Linked DNA regions of Lonchura striata. The main gene of each other region encodes a partner of the protein of the gene in region 2 in a complex. Links are inferred from orthologs where the notes say so. Each region holds a gene or a part of one and is shown on either strand. Other genes may lie near its edges.

Evidence for each region. The genes of interacting proteins can lie anywhere in the genome.
Region 1: the proteins of KIT (region 2) and SOCS6 are in contact, whole or in part, in a crystal structure (PDB 2VIF), measured with the Homo sapiens proteins. The link is inferred for Lonchura striata from reciprocal best matches to the Homo sapiens genes KIT and SOCS6. Residues at the interface, in NP_000213.1 of Homo sapiens: Asn566, Asn567, Tyr568, Val569, Tyr570, Ile571, Asp572, Pro573, Thr574; in NP_004223.2 of Homo sapiens: Arg391, Glu395, Arg409, Asp410, Ser411, Ser412, Asp413, Ser419, Phe422, Thr428, Leu429, His430, Thr431, Arg432, Phe442, Tyr443, Glu444, Gln445, Val448, His460, Asp464, Ala469, Phe470, Cys471, Tyr472, Ser473, Arg474, Ser475, Arg476, Thr482.

What each region holds. Positions count from the first base shown.
Region 1 is NC_134603.1:56,548,359-56,555,534, reverse strand, and holds the start of SOCS6 (suppressor of cytokine signaling 6), read right to left. Parts: upstream 3,049-7,176; 5' UTR 2,854-3,048; intron 2,803-2,853; exon of another isoform or gene 2,724-2,802; intron 2,149-2,723; exon of another isoform or gene 2,127-2,148; intron 797-2,126; exon of another isoform or gene 720-796; intron 1-719. UniProt on the Homo sapiens protein: SOCS family proteins form part of a classical negative feedback system that regulates cytokine signal transduction.
Region 2 is NC_134606.1:27,109,055-27,116,231, reverse strand, and holds the start of KIT (mast/stem cell growth factor receptor Kit), read right to left. Parts: upstream 3,095-7,177; 5' UTR 3,028-3,094; coding exon 2,949-3,027; intron 1-2,948. UniProt on the Homo sapiens protein: Tyrosine-protein kinase that acts as a cell-surface receptor for the cytokine KITLG/SCF and plays an essential role in the regulation of cell survival and proliferation, hematopoiesis, stem cell maintenance, gametogenesis, mast cell development, migration and function, and in melanogenesis.

The DNA of each region.
Region 1 (7,176 bases), on a different chromosome or scaffold from region 2:
TTTGGAATAAACATAAGGACAAGGAACATTACAGATGTAATTATTTCTCTTCTGAAAAATAAAAAACATAAAAAAAGGGTAAACTCAAAGTTCTGTATTTGCTCTCAGTTTAATACTTTACAGTACAAAATATACAGCTACATGGCATAGGATATCTCTATTCTGTTTTTCATCCTATCCAATTTATACTCAAGACATTTTAGCATCTGCATTATATTCCCTTTTATGCTATTGGCATCTTATTTTCTTCCTTGGAGCATCAGAACTGCTTGAGCTACCCTCTTTTAATTTGTTGCTAACACACATTAAAGCCCCATCAACAAAACACTGAGGCACACACCAGCTGAGAACAGTCTCCTTCCTATCTATTTTATGTTATTGCATTGTACTACCCAAACACTATCAAACTAGTGCTGCGTAGGCCCAAGAGAGCCATAAAGAAAGAGGAAAAAAAGGCACTCGAGCTAGGGATTACCCTGGACTATGGCCCCACTTCTGCCAACAATAGCATAGCAAGTATATAGTGTACTCATGGCAGCCCTACCAAATGAAGTCCTGCAAGTGTTCATGTTCAAATTACTCTAAGACTATAAAAAAAATCATAAGAAAGAGCAGAAATAATTAACTTGCTTTGTATGAACAACTTCTAGTTAAGATTACACTCTCCCATTCCACCAATTCACTATGCCAAGGAGAGTCAGAAATCATAATCTACTCACAGAATAAGAACCAGTTACCATTTCTTCAAACCATCCCTCTCCAAGAGTAACCCAGGGTTACTGACCAACTTCACAATCTAGGATCAAAGAAGTTAACAGCATATTATAAATTAATACACAAATGTTTTTTAGATTTCAGTACGTCAAGTTTTTATGAAGCTACCAAGTCTCCTGAATCTATGCAAACACTTGGATGCTGCAATACATGCAGTGCATTAAAGTGATGCTCATGAAGCCCCTGGAAACAACACAGAGCTTCTTGCTAAATACTCCATACCCTTGCAGCTAATCCAAGAAGTTAGCTAATATGGGTATGTCTGTATAACAATACACTGTTATCACTTATTTAATTTAATTTTATCTTTTAAAAAATTTATTTAAATCTCAAAACTTGGGATATAGGGAATACATCCCTAATTAAGCATACAAGAAGTGAACCTGGTTTCAAGTAAAAGCTCAGTTCCAAACACAGTGTAATGCCAGAAACCCAAGAAATATCAAATAGGAAGTGAAAACAGTACTTGATGGGGGTTTAACACATCAAAAAACTGCATTTTGCAAAAGCTGAAATTGTCTTTCTTAAGTTACACATAAAACTGTGCATTATGACTACTATCTTATTGCAGAAGACTCAAAAAATACCTACACATTCTCTAGCTGTTTAGGGTCTTCCAGCCAAGCTAAGTAATTTGTTTCATAATCGCACCAAAGCTTCCCTATTTTCTACAATCCAAAGATGTGTCTATTAGCACAAACAGAAACTAGAAACAGAACCAGTTCTACTTTATTCCACCCATAGAAGAAATGCAGATGCATTATTCCTGGAGTACTTGTGCAGACAGCAGCACTCCAAGACAGGAGGCCTGCAGCAGGCATTTTTTAACTACAGGTGTATTGAGAGGATAGACACGGCATAAACATTCCTGGCCTGTAGGAAAGAGTGGTTAAGACCTCACAGTGAAAGGGTACAAGAATTTTTTAAGGGGAAGTCAGTTTCCCTGTCTAAAGCATATTCTATGAGCAACTACTGTAATGCAGTGCCCTACTCCACACGAAAAAAAAACATTGCGTTCCAAACCAAGATGATTTTGAAAACATAGGGAGACAAAAATAAAGAGGACAGAAAGACGTAGCCAAAGTACCCTCACATCACAGAAGCATCATCCTCTGCATTTCTCAAAACCCCGTTGTTTTGCAAAGGCTTTTTTCATAAGCAAACGGGCTGGCATGGACTAGTTGTTTTCTAAGAGAAGTGGCATCATGACAGAAAGAGAGTAAGAACAATGAAAGCGAATAAACTTTGCGGATCTGGTAATGCTTTTGTTGAAGGCAAGTTCTTAAGCGCTGTCTGTCATAAAAAGGAGCCTCTCTCGCTCGCCCCTTCGGGAGCTCTCGGCGCACCCTCACCTCGCAACAACCCGGGGCTCCTCCACCGCACAAATCCCGACACCGGCTGCCCAAATCGCCACCTCCGGGCACCCGCCCTGCCGGAGACGGGGACACACCAGCCTCAAGTGAAGGCGGATTTCACGGCGGGCTGAAGGAAAATCAGCCCAATTCCGCCGTCCCCCACAATGGCACCAGGAGGCGCGGGGTGCATTCGGGCAGCGGCCCAGGGCAGGAGCACGGGAGCCCGGCGGGCCCCGCTGCGGCGACTGGCGGGGACGAGAGGCTGGCCGGGACCCCTCCTGTCACGGCGGGGGCCGGGCAGCGCCTCGCCGGCCCGGGCCCGGCGCTGCTTCCCTCCCGCCCGCCCGGCCGCCTCGCAGGCCGCGCCGCGGCCCCGGTGGCTCCGCAGGGCCTGGCACCGCCGCGGGCTCGGGGAGCCCAGCAAACAAAGGGAGCCGAGGCCGGGGCCGCGGCCCGGGAAGAGGGCGGCGGGCAAGTGACGAACCGCGCCGGCCCAATCCACGGCTCCCCCTCCACCGCGCCGGCCCTCCGCGCCCCGCGGCGCGGGGAGGGGGCGCCGGGCCGCGGAGCGCCCGCTGCCCCGGGGACGCTCACCCGGCGGAGGCCGCGGTGTCCCGCTCCCGGCGCGGGCCTCGCCCCGGGCACCTCGGCGGCGCGGCCCGGCCTGCGCCGGCTCCCGGGCTCGGCGGGGAGCAACCTCCGGGGGTGGCGGAGCGGCACTCACCGAGGGGGAGGAGAAGGAGGAGCTGGCTCTGCTGTTGCTTTCGCGGGGCCCGGCCCGGCTCCGGCTCCCTCCCTCGCCGTGCCGCCGCCTCCCTGTTCCTGGCGCCGCCGCCGCTTCCTCCGCCTCCTCTGCCCCCACCCCTCCGTCCTCGGAGGGGCGCACGGGGGCGGCGAGCCCGCGATGGCCGCCGCCTGCCGCAGGCACGGCTACGGCTGCGGCGCCCGCGCACGGCCCGGCGGCGGCGGGAGGGCCGCAGGCATCCCCGCTCCGTCCTCGCCTGCCCGGCCGCCCCTGCCGCCCGGCCGGCTCCACCAGCCCTCGGCGGCCCTTCCCTTGCTCGGGTCTGGGCGCCTCGCCCGGGCTCGTTCCCGCTTAGCGGCCGCGGGAAACCCGCGGGGGGCAGCCGGGAGCCGCGCTGGAGTGGCAGCAGGGAGGCGGTCTGGCTTTGTTAGCCCCGGCCCTTTCCTCTCTCCCCCAGCGCTCCGGTGTGTGAGCGCTGCGCTGGGCTCCAGGAGCTCATCGGCCAAGTTCACAGGGAGCCACCTCCCCTCGTCGTTCTGGCGGGGGCAGCCCCTCGCTGGTAGCGCCCGGCCAGAGGGGTCCCGCGGCCGCCCCCCGCTGCCGGCCACGGGCGCTCCCCTCCAGGCCCGCTTGCGCTGGAGAGGGAGCGGGAGAGGGAGGCAGGGAGGTGATCTTTTCCTCCGCTTCACCTTCCCTCACACCTCTTGACGTGAAAGCGACGCGCCAGAACAGGCGTTACTTTTGTGCTCCACTCTGCTTCACAGATCTCCTCGAGAAATTGACACTAAACTTCAGGCATACCAGCTGTGCTGCAGCAACTTCAGCCAAGCAGACTTCTTTGATTGCTTGTTCCCCGGTCTCTTCTTAAAAATAAAATGCTAACTCCTGAGCAAGAAAACAATTCTTAGTTTAGGATGTGTGAGACTGATGGAAACAACAAGCAGGGTGTGAAGGATTAAAATCTATCGACGATACGGCTCTTAAAAGTTGTTGCAAGTTGTGTTTGCTGACTGAAAAGTTGTTGCAAGTTGTGTTTGCTATTTTACTGAGCAGCTAGTAAAATACTACCTTAGTTTCCTCCTTGTAGTGTATATAACTGATACAAATTAACAACCAGATTTGCACAGATAAGCACAATTTGCTTACCTATGTAGTCGCATGACAGAGTACTTGTATGGCTTATTATGAAGCAACTGACTTCAAGGTTAAGAAGTATCCAATGACACTCAAGATGTCATGCACATGCTCCTTGAATTCCGGGAGATCTGAGGTGTTAGTGAGTTCAGGTCAGTGACTTGTTTAACTGCCTAGGGTATTTGAGATCCGAGTGTGCCTTTATTGTATTCATATTTTTATATCCCAGGCATTTATAGAGAATTAAATACTTTCCTTGAGTCTCATTCAAGGGTCGTATGCTTCCTTATGTGTCGAATCAACCTCAGTTTCTGGCAGGCTGTGACCATTTCAGATGATGACTAATCAGAGTTGCAGAAAGAATGTTTTTTCTCAAATATAAGGTTTGACTTTTTAATTTATAAATAGAATGATTTATGTTTTAATTAAGTGTTTTAGATTAGAACTGTTTGTTTTACGATTATGATTACATATTATCAGTGGTATAACAAAGCTAAGAATCACTTCAAGTGGATCACATGAAACCTTATGGGTTTTAACTTTTGTTTGTAAAACAATATTGTAGATATGAAAAATACAAATTACTTCCTAGGTTGGCAGTGGTGTTCAAAGAAAGAAAATTAAACAAATAATAAAATACTTTTTTTTTTTTACAGCATTGAGCATTCCTTCTTCTCCTGTTATAAGTCTTATAAACTTATAAGTTTAGCAACCAAGTTAAAAAGGGGAATAAGAGAGAGCAAGCAAGGCTCTAATGGGGAATAATTTAATTTTTGTGCAGTTCTGTCATTTTGTGAAACAAGGAATTTTTCTTTGTGTGTGTGTATGATCTTACCTTCTTCTTGGGCTTCTTTTTCCTTGGGATACAAGCATTTGAAAAAGTAATTACTTTCAGGATTCTGCTGGCATTTGTGCTTGACACATATATGTAGTATTAACTTAAGCTTGTTTAGTATAAACTTTTCAGCAGCAGCTGTGGGACAATAGCAGCAGTATGTGAAGAAGCCAACTGGGCTTAAAATGTTTGTCCTTCATTTTGCTTTCAGGGAGCTTTTACCATAGGCAACTTTTGCAGTGATCTACCTTGCATATGAGATGAATTTTTAAAATCATCTTAGAAATCTTATTCTACAGTCTCTCAAACTACTAAAAAAACAGTTGAGTCTGGATGATGAGATTTTCCAGGCCATATGTTGACCAAAGGTTTCCATGTGTCTGAAAGTGCTCTCTTATCAGTCTTATGAATAAAAGGACTTAGCTTTTTGCAGAAATGGGACTGATAGACAACAGGAAGGTTGAAGAAACTTAATGCAAAATATTTGGTAGCTTTTTCCCCCAAATCTTCCATATCTTAACATTCTTCTCAGTAGTGATGATGTTAAATATGGCTTAAATTAGCATCACTACTCCAAGCACTCACCTTTCTCATTTTCTCTCCATCTCCTTCCCTCCTCCTGCCCGTGCACACCCTTTCCTTTTTTTCAGTGACTCCAGGCCTCATTGGTCCTCTCTAAGCCAGCTCAGGTGGCAAAATCTATTGAGGTTCATTTTCCTAACAATAAATTGTGACATAAAGGAGAACCGATGCCTTATTTCTCACATCTTTTTCTTTTCCATAGGCAACCAGTGTGCTCTTGGTTTGACTCAGTCTTAACATACAGCTTCAAGTTTAGGATAGACTTTTCCCCATGGAAATGTGGCAACAAACAGCCATATCCTAGTGAGAGCAACAGTTTATCACCAAGTCTGAATTCACACAAGTGTGCGACTGATGTTGCATCCTGGATGGCAGACAAGGAGAATGCAAGCGGGATCACTCAGTTGAGTTTTTCTTGGCTTAAAAACACATATTGAACTAAATTGGGCTGTTCGTACATTCATGCATCTTGTTTCAATGCTCTTTGTATGTATCACCTATCAGACTTGCTTCACAGTTGCTAGCTTTTTTGAAACTACAAGAACTAGAAATTTGGTCTTGGTAATAGAAAATAATTTTTTTCCCATCTGATTTCTTTATATTTGGGAGGTTCTAAAATCAGGAACTCTACACCCAGTTTTAATTACTTAGGGGTTGCATATTGATGTACTCTCTATTTTTATATGCTTATGCCTTTTCTCTCTTACTTAAAAATGTGATTATAAATAATTTTATTATTTTTTTAGATCAAACTGTGTATATACAAATCTGTAGTGCAGAGGGACAGGTCAGAAACCTAAATTATGAGTATTCACGGACAACAAAGCCAAAAGTTATGTCCATTGTATCTATTTCTTTCTTATTGCTATCTACCTGAATGGCATAGATTATCATCACCTTCTTACAACTTCCCTGGCCATGGCTCTTTGGCCTGAATTGTGGTGGGAGGTTAGTGCCTTTGTCTAACTGTTCTTGCAGTCATATAGCTCTGATTTTATTTTAAGCACCCAAATGCTTTCCTTTCCTGTTCAGTATATTTCAGAAAGGGAATTTGTTGTAATTTTACTGAAATGTTTAAATTATTGTAATGCTTTATAGGATTTTGATTTTTAGATCTTAAGTGTTCAGATGGCCTTGAAAAAACATATGCTTTTAAGGAAAGCCATATATCCAAAATCACTAAATTGCTGATCATTTTTTGTAACTGTGGCCTAATTTTATGGTTTTAAAATTCCTGTTCTCCTTTTTTATTATGTGAATTTATGTATTCCTTTATTTGTATTTTTAGATAATATAGTATATTTATATTCCTATGTTATAATATGTATTAGAAGTCCCCATATATCACATCATCACATATGGTTTTCAGACATTGTAGGTTGTTTGCTCCACTTTAGTTTCTCTTAGGTTCTTGCACATTTTCTGTTGATAAATTCAATTTCTATTATTAAAGTTCATTTATGTAAATATTTTCAAAGTGGGTTTTTTTTCTTTTTTTTGGAGGGAGTTCCCCCTCCACCCATTTTAATACTATTGTTACAAAAAAAAAAAAAAAAAAAAAAAAAAAAACCCAAAAAAAAACCACCAAAATGAAGTGAAGTATACAGGAGTTTCTTTCACACAGACAAACCTTTTGTCTCAGATTGGAGTTAAATTTGCATTATTTACTAGTACTGCTGAAATAAAAGGTATAGATGGCATTAAGACCTCTTACAGCTACTAAAAGCTATCATACATAAAAATTATGTGCT
Region 2 (7,177 bases):
CTCAGGATCCTTTGCTTAATTCAGGCACCTGCAAAGAAGCGTTACTGTTTGGACAATCACTGGGAGAGCTGGGAACGAGACAGAAAACCCACAGAGAGCCAATACAACCCCACAGTACCACAGCTGCAGTCATCTGTTGACAAGAGGCTCTCTCTGGCAAAATAAGCACGTGGAAATGCCTTCAGTCTCTATGAATGCTATTTAAACAGGATGTAAATGGCAGTCTCACTTCTTGCCAAATTTGTCACATTCTTTATTATAAAGCCCGAACAAAAATCACTCAGGCACTTGCAGGGAAAAGGTTCCCAGTGGCGGTGCAAGGAAAAAGAGTTGAATATTGAGCAGTTTTTGACATTTCCATTCTGCTCCTGGCAGTGGCCTTAGGCTACATTTCTGCACAGGGGACTCTGCACTGCCACAGGGGAGGGAGGAAAAGTACAGAGAGCAGAGATAGAAATGAAATGGGAGTAGGGAGGGCAGGATACTCAGATGGCTTGAGGGGGGTCAAGGCAGTGACTGAATGACAGCAATCAAAATTCTCATCAAATTCAATCTTCGTCCTTCAAGCTTCCTCCCTCATGGCTGATAGGTAACAGGGAGCATCATGAAAACAGACATTCTTCCCTCTGGGCACAGGGAGAGTCTGCTATTACTCTGCAGCTGATTGGGGGGGAAAAAAAAAGGTTGCATTGATGGATGGATGCTGAAAGGAACCATGTCCAGTCTTCCATGACCACAGGATGGAAATGCAAGGCACTCTCACAGAGTACTGGATGGTAGGGGACAAAGCAAGCCTTGAGGGAGGACAGGAGAAGAAGAGAGAAAAGACTGTTCCGGAATATTGCATCAAAATGAGGACAAGGCAAGTCCCAAATGGAAGGAAGTATGGAAGCATGTCAGTTTGCAAGAAAAACAAAAATTAGGAAGGGACTGTGGACAGAAAAGATGAATGGTTTACCCTTTGAGAAGCTACATTAAGCTGTTTTCTACATCCTCCTTCCCAGTTTGCAACCAAAGGAAGACGCGCTTGACCAACAGCCAAAAAAAGATACTTATTATAAACCTGTATGCTGATAAACAGGATAGGTCTGAACAGGGAGATCATCTCAGCCAAGCATCTACACTGAGGCAAAACCAAAAGCAGCACAGGAACTAGCTCTGGAGCAATCCAGAACAGCACATCAGCTCTGTCCTATCACTTCTGATGTTCCTATGCTGCTGCCAGGACTCTAACCATCACACCGATACCTCTCCCAGCACCACAAAACCAGCCCAGAATACTCCTACATCTATGTGATGCACAGATGATGCACATACATACCCAAGGACAGCTGTCTTTTGCAGTAGCAAGTTATTTCTTACAACATGGTGTGGTTTTGTTCACACAAGTTTTTGTCTGATGTGTCCCTGAAGTCTCCCACAAGTAAGTGTATAAACCCAGAACGAGATGGAGGATCATGAGAAAGGTTCCTCCTTGCTTCCTCAGTACTCCAGAAATTGCACCTCTGTCTTCCAGGACACGCTGCCAGTGTGATCTGTTTCCCAAGCCTTCTTTAAGGACAGTCTAACTATATGATGAAGGGTAACCTTGAAGTGAAGGCAAGAAATTCATGAAGTAAAGAAAGTTGGCAGGTATCAATCATGTCAACATCTTAAAAAATTCTTTCTAGTAATAACTCATTGGTAGGAGACTTTTAGGAGACTTTTACACTCCTGTGGCCACAGCATTTTGCAGCCTTATGTGGGTACTTCTAAATAGGAAAGCCCAAGTTGCCAGATACCACATTTACTCGGATTACCAATAAACCAACGGCAGCAAACAGAAAAAGTTACCTAAACAAAATCATTAAGGCATCCTAAACGGTTTTACAATGAAGTGTAAATTGTCACTACTGTTGGCTTCTGGTGTTTTAGAGGTGTCTGCTCCCATGGGCAGAGGCTGGCGGAACCCTCCCCGTCTGTGTCACACAGGGTGCTCTGCAAGGCTCCTCTCTGGTGGTGGCAGCAAACCTTAAACACCTATCGCTGTGCATCGCTTCTCTGGATCCTCAGCTCGTTCTGAGGTAAGCAGCGAAAGAACCTTTCACGTTATCTCCTTTCAGACTTCAGTGCCCAATGCTAAATTCCTCCCCAGGTCTAGCAGCGACCTCCTTCCAGCACCTTCCCCTGGACACAGCCAAACGCCTCCTAAGCCTACAAACCATGAAAGGAGATGCACGGCGGCTCTGAAAGCCATGTGTGAAGTTGCCCAGCTCTGCAGCCAGATGCAGTATTTAAAACCGTTAGACCTGTGCTCCAGGGCTATGAGGTCAAGCAAATAAACTCCCTTTTTAGAAAAGACTGGAAAGGAACCTACCCACCAAAGTTTTTGCACCAGCTGATTCCCCAAAGGCCTGAAAGGCACCCATTGCCCTCTTCACCGCAAAGGTCCGTCAGCGCCGCAACAGACCAGCCCTGATGCCCGGTCCCGCGGCGAGCCCTGCTCCGGGGCACCTGCCCGCCGGCGGCCGCAGAGGGCACCGAGCCCACCTGCCCCACCGGGGAGGCTGCACACCGCTGCTCAGCGCTGGACACCTGACGCCGGCCGCTCGTTCCTGCCCATTGTTCAACAAGCACTTAACCGCGGGGACATTTCGTACCGATCCCCGGATAGTTTATTGTCAAAACAGCCGGGCCGGGGAGGCGGAGGGGGGTGGAGGGGTTCCCTGCAGGTCTCTCCCCCAGCCCCGGATAGCCGCGCACGGCAAACAAAGGACTTTATTTCCCCCGGCGGGGCGTCCCACAAGGGCAGCGCGGGGCGATGCCGGGCACACCGCTGGCTGCCGGCCGACCCCCGGCGCGGCGCTGCCCCGCGGAGGGGGCCGCCAGCGCTGAAGTTTTCCCTGCCGCCGCCCGTGCAAACCCCGGCCCCGCGGGGCTCCGCGCCCGCCCGCGCCCGCGGCTCCCACCTGCGGGTAAGAGGCTCAGCAGAAGCAGCAGCAGCAGCGCGGTGTGCGCCAGCTCCCGGGCGAGGATCGCGCCCTCCATCCCGGCGCGGCTGCCGCTCGCACGGCCCGGCGCGGAGATGCCCGAGCCCCCGCGGGAGGGAGCGGAGTAGAGCCGGCCCCGCCCCGCCCCGCGCCGCGCCGCGCCCCCGCCCCGCCGCCGCGGGGATGGGCGCAGGTGAGGAGCTCCTCCGCCCCCGGGAGCCTCCTCTGGGCTCACCTAAAGCCCCTAAACAGAATGGTTTAAGGAAAAAGGACCGAGCCCAGTGGCTGAATGGGCGCTCAGTGCTGTCGTGAGGGAGAGCTCGCCCTCCTCACGGGCGGCATTCTGCCACGCCGAGCGCCCGAGGGATCGGGGCCGCGGGGCTGCGTAAACCCAAGTGGAACGTGGACCGGAGAAAGGTGGGGGGAGCGGCCGGGCCGGGCACGGGAGCTGGAAAGGGAGAGAGCATCCCTTAAAGGGCAGGTACAAAGCCGTTTGCCTAGCTTTGAAATCCTCACTGATCGCCCCTGGAGCTGTTAACGACTGGCTGGTTCTGGAGGCGCCAAAGGTATCGCCTCCGCCCTGGCTCGCACTGCTGACATCCACCCAGCCCGCTGTGGGCCACCACCTATTGAGGGCCAGAGCACCTCGAGTGAGACTTAAAAGTATGTGCTGTGGCACAAAGCGAAGACTTGAAAGAAGTGGCTGGTTTGGTATGGAAACGAGAAAACTGACAGGGAGCTTAAACGTGGAAAGGGTCCTTAAGAAAAGGATTGTGAGTGATTGTTTTTAATGTTTCTCAAGGGCAAGAAAAAAAGTTATCCATTTAATTCTCAGGAAAAAAAAAATCGCTTAAATGTAAGGAAGGCGATTGCAAAGAGCAAGAGGATTTAGACTACAAATGCATTGCAAAAAGGGGTTGTGGAATCCCACAGAGGGAGTTTTTTAAGCACCGATGAGACCACTGACGAGGATCTGGGAGCACTCACTTCTGTAACTGCAGAATTGGAGTGGAGCTGCTCTGCAGGCAGAAATAACACAAACTACACAAATTCTTAGCTTTAACACTGTTTTAGCAGTCAGTGTCACACACTGTTGAGGTGGAAGAAAGGTATAGAGGTGACCCAGGCAAAGGAGCCATGCATGCATTCACCAGCCATGCTCTGCCCAAGGTATCCACAGGCAGCACCTTAACAGGCAGGTGGGCAAAGGACACAGACTGTCAGAAAATCCATAACAACACTTCTGGATGTACAGAAAGATGTAGAGGACATATGGCAAAACTTTCACCACTGGAAAAGCATAAATGTAGACTTCTTGAAATGTGTCAGTACAGATCAGAAAAATTATTGAAGGTAAATATTCCTTTTTTTTCCCTTCATCTTCCTTTCTTTTTCACTCCTGTCAGATTTTTTCCCAAGGTTAATAGCACTGTCCCACATGGTCCAGCATGAGATGAAAGTCTTGTCTTGCATGTTTAAAACGGCTCTCTCCATTTCTTTACTCTCTTTCATCTCTGACAGCCAGTCTCTTTTGATAGGTGAATCCTTCCTCTGCTGCAAAACAGAATACTTTTTGTTAGCACACCAACAATTTCAAAATCAAATAACATCTTAAAATCCTATTTCTTACTATGTGCTAACCTCATCAAATTAACCTTAGGGAGGAAAAAATTACTGAAATACTTAATTTATTAGTGTCGTTTCCCTCACACCCCCCCCCCCCCCCCCCATTTTCCAGGTGTCTCTGGATTTTGTTTCTGTAGGAGAAAAAAAGTGAGCCTGAATTTTTAAATGTAAACATTTGGAACGCTTAATTTCTTAAAGATGCAAAGGTAGGGCACTATACTGTAAGAGGTTTTCACTAAAGCATTATCAAGGAACATGTGATGTTGTTATTGTGGCAGGTTTTTCCCTGTTCTCCTTGATTAGTGCTCCTTCAGTTAGTGGCCTGCCTTTAGGTCCTGCACATCCCTGATCACATGAATCTGAACTCCGCATGGCTCTGCATCATATGCCTCATTTTCACAAACATTAGCTCAATGTTACATCTCAAAATCAAAGTGGCAACAGTATTCTCCACGTGCTTTGACTGACTATAAATAGCAACAGTAAGTGGGAAACAAAGGTGAATTGCTTTTAACCTTGCCCCTTCATTTATTTTAAATAATTAAAATGATAAATGCAGTTGCCCTTTTCAGTGTATTGCACTGAATGCTGTAAGTTTTGTTGTCTATATCCTGTTTGCATTATAGAAGCAAAAGAAAGTTTTTTAAGCAGTGGAGGGTTCTCTTAGGTCTTTTTCCTACCTTTGTCTGAAATATGTGAGCATAAACCAGAAAGGTTCTTCTTTGACTTTGCAGCCAGCCTCACGTGTTTCTCTCTTCAGTTGTCACTGTGGTACTATGGCAGTGAGTTAGGACAGGTAGTGCCATCTCTCCTCATCATCTGCTGGAGACAACTTGCAGTAGGTTGACATTTGGGAGAGTGTGGAATGAAGAGAGAGACAAGAGAGATCTGCAGCCTTTGGACACAATACACATTTGGAGATAAGAGCGATAAGCTTGGAGAAATATGTGAAATTATATTTGAAAAGTTCACTTCCCTTTGAAAGCTTGAAAGTGATTTAAAATTTGTGGATGAACTCCTTTGAAAAGTCAATTCAAAATATTGCTTTTAGATATCCATGGGAATGCTTGCTGAAGTAAACACTGAATAGGTCAATAATATTGGTAAGATTAAGCTAATGTCAACAAAATACTGCTGCTCTAATGAAGGGTTTGTCATTTCTGTATCTGAATGGAAATGCATTTAGAAATGAGCAAGTTTGATGGTTTAAAACAATTTATTTGTCAGAGCTATGAAAACCTTTTTTACAGCATTAATAATCTTAGACTCTTTTTATCTATGACAAAATGTATCTGTTGAGAAGAGAGGAATTACTCTTCTGATACAGCCAATCAATGTGGCTAGAATCCTTCCTGATTGCCCACAATAACAACTTTTTCTATAAGGTTGTAGTTTCCTTTTTCTAAATTGCAGATTGACAGACTTTAGGCTGGAACATGGCTCTTTCATATAAGCTGGCAGCCCCAGCAAACCAGACAGCTCCAGAATTAACTCCTCTGTGATTCCTGAAGGCTTTGAGAAATTACACAAGTTTGAAACACATATTGATTTACCAGTGTTGCAGTAAAACCTATCTAATCACAGGCATAAAAGTTTGTTAAGCTTTTAAAAAGTAAAAAGTGGTTAAATTTCTGCCTTGTGCATTCATCTAAAGCATCATTTCTGAAGAGTGAGTTAGGAATGTCATATGACCACTGTGCAAAAATATATACTCAGCACTCTGCAGTATCTTGATCCAAATTGACTAAACTGTAGCTGTGAATTTTCTCCACCTTCTGTTTTATTAATATTAAAAAAAAATAGAAAAGTGTGTGAAGTCTGCTGGTCTAAACTGTTGGTACAAGAAGGTATAATCCAGCTGGACCTGTTTTCTAGAAACTGAGATTTTGGGACATCCCATTTCATTTTTTTTATTAATCTCTCGTCTTCTGCTCTCCACGCTGACATGTTAGGGTGGGTAAGTGGAGAAAACTGATAGCATTTGATAGGCACATGTCTTAAGACTTCATCTGTAGATGGCAGGATTATAATGTCTTCAGCCAGTGTAATTGATGAAATGTCTGTTATTTTTAGAGGGATGACACTAAAATAAATTCAGAAGAAGTGGACACCTTTATCTCATTCCCCCTGGAATAAGAATCTTCAAACTGAATCCGTTCAGTATTACTAAAGTGAGAGGTGTAGCTTATTCCCTTTTAATCCAATTGTGGAGAATACTCAGTAAATCCCATTGTGACTGTGATCTTAAACCAGCATTGCCATCCTAGTTAATTAAAAATTTTTCCAGCATTGAATGTCAATGAGAGCCTAGATATAGTCGTAATTGAAGCTTGAAATATATGCTGTTTTTGAAGACATCTTGTATTATCACACACATAGCACACTATTGTAAACACTGTTTTATCAGTCTAAGCTTAAGTGGAATATAAAGGCTCTAATCTTCTTGATAGTATTTTTTTGTTAGTTTATAGCCTGCAATCTTACTAAGAAAAGAGATTTGTCTTTGTGAACTGCCAAGTGTAGTTCTTGCCTTTATCACTTGCAGCTTTATTTGCACAGGCCACTGTTGAAAATTGACTCAG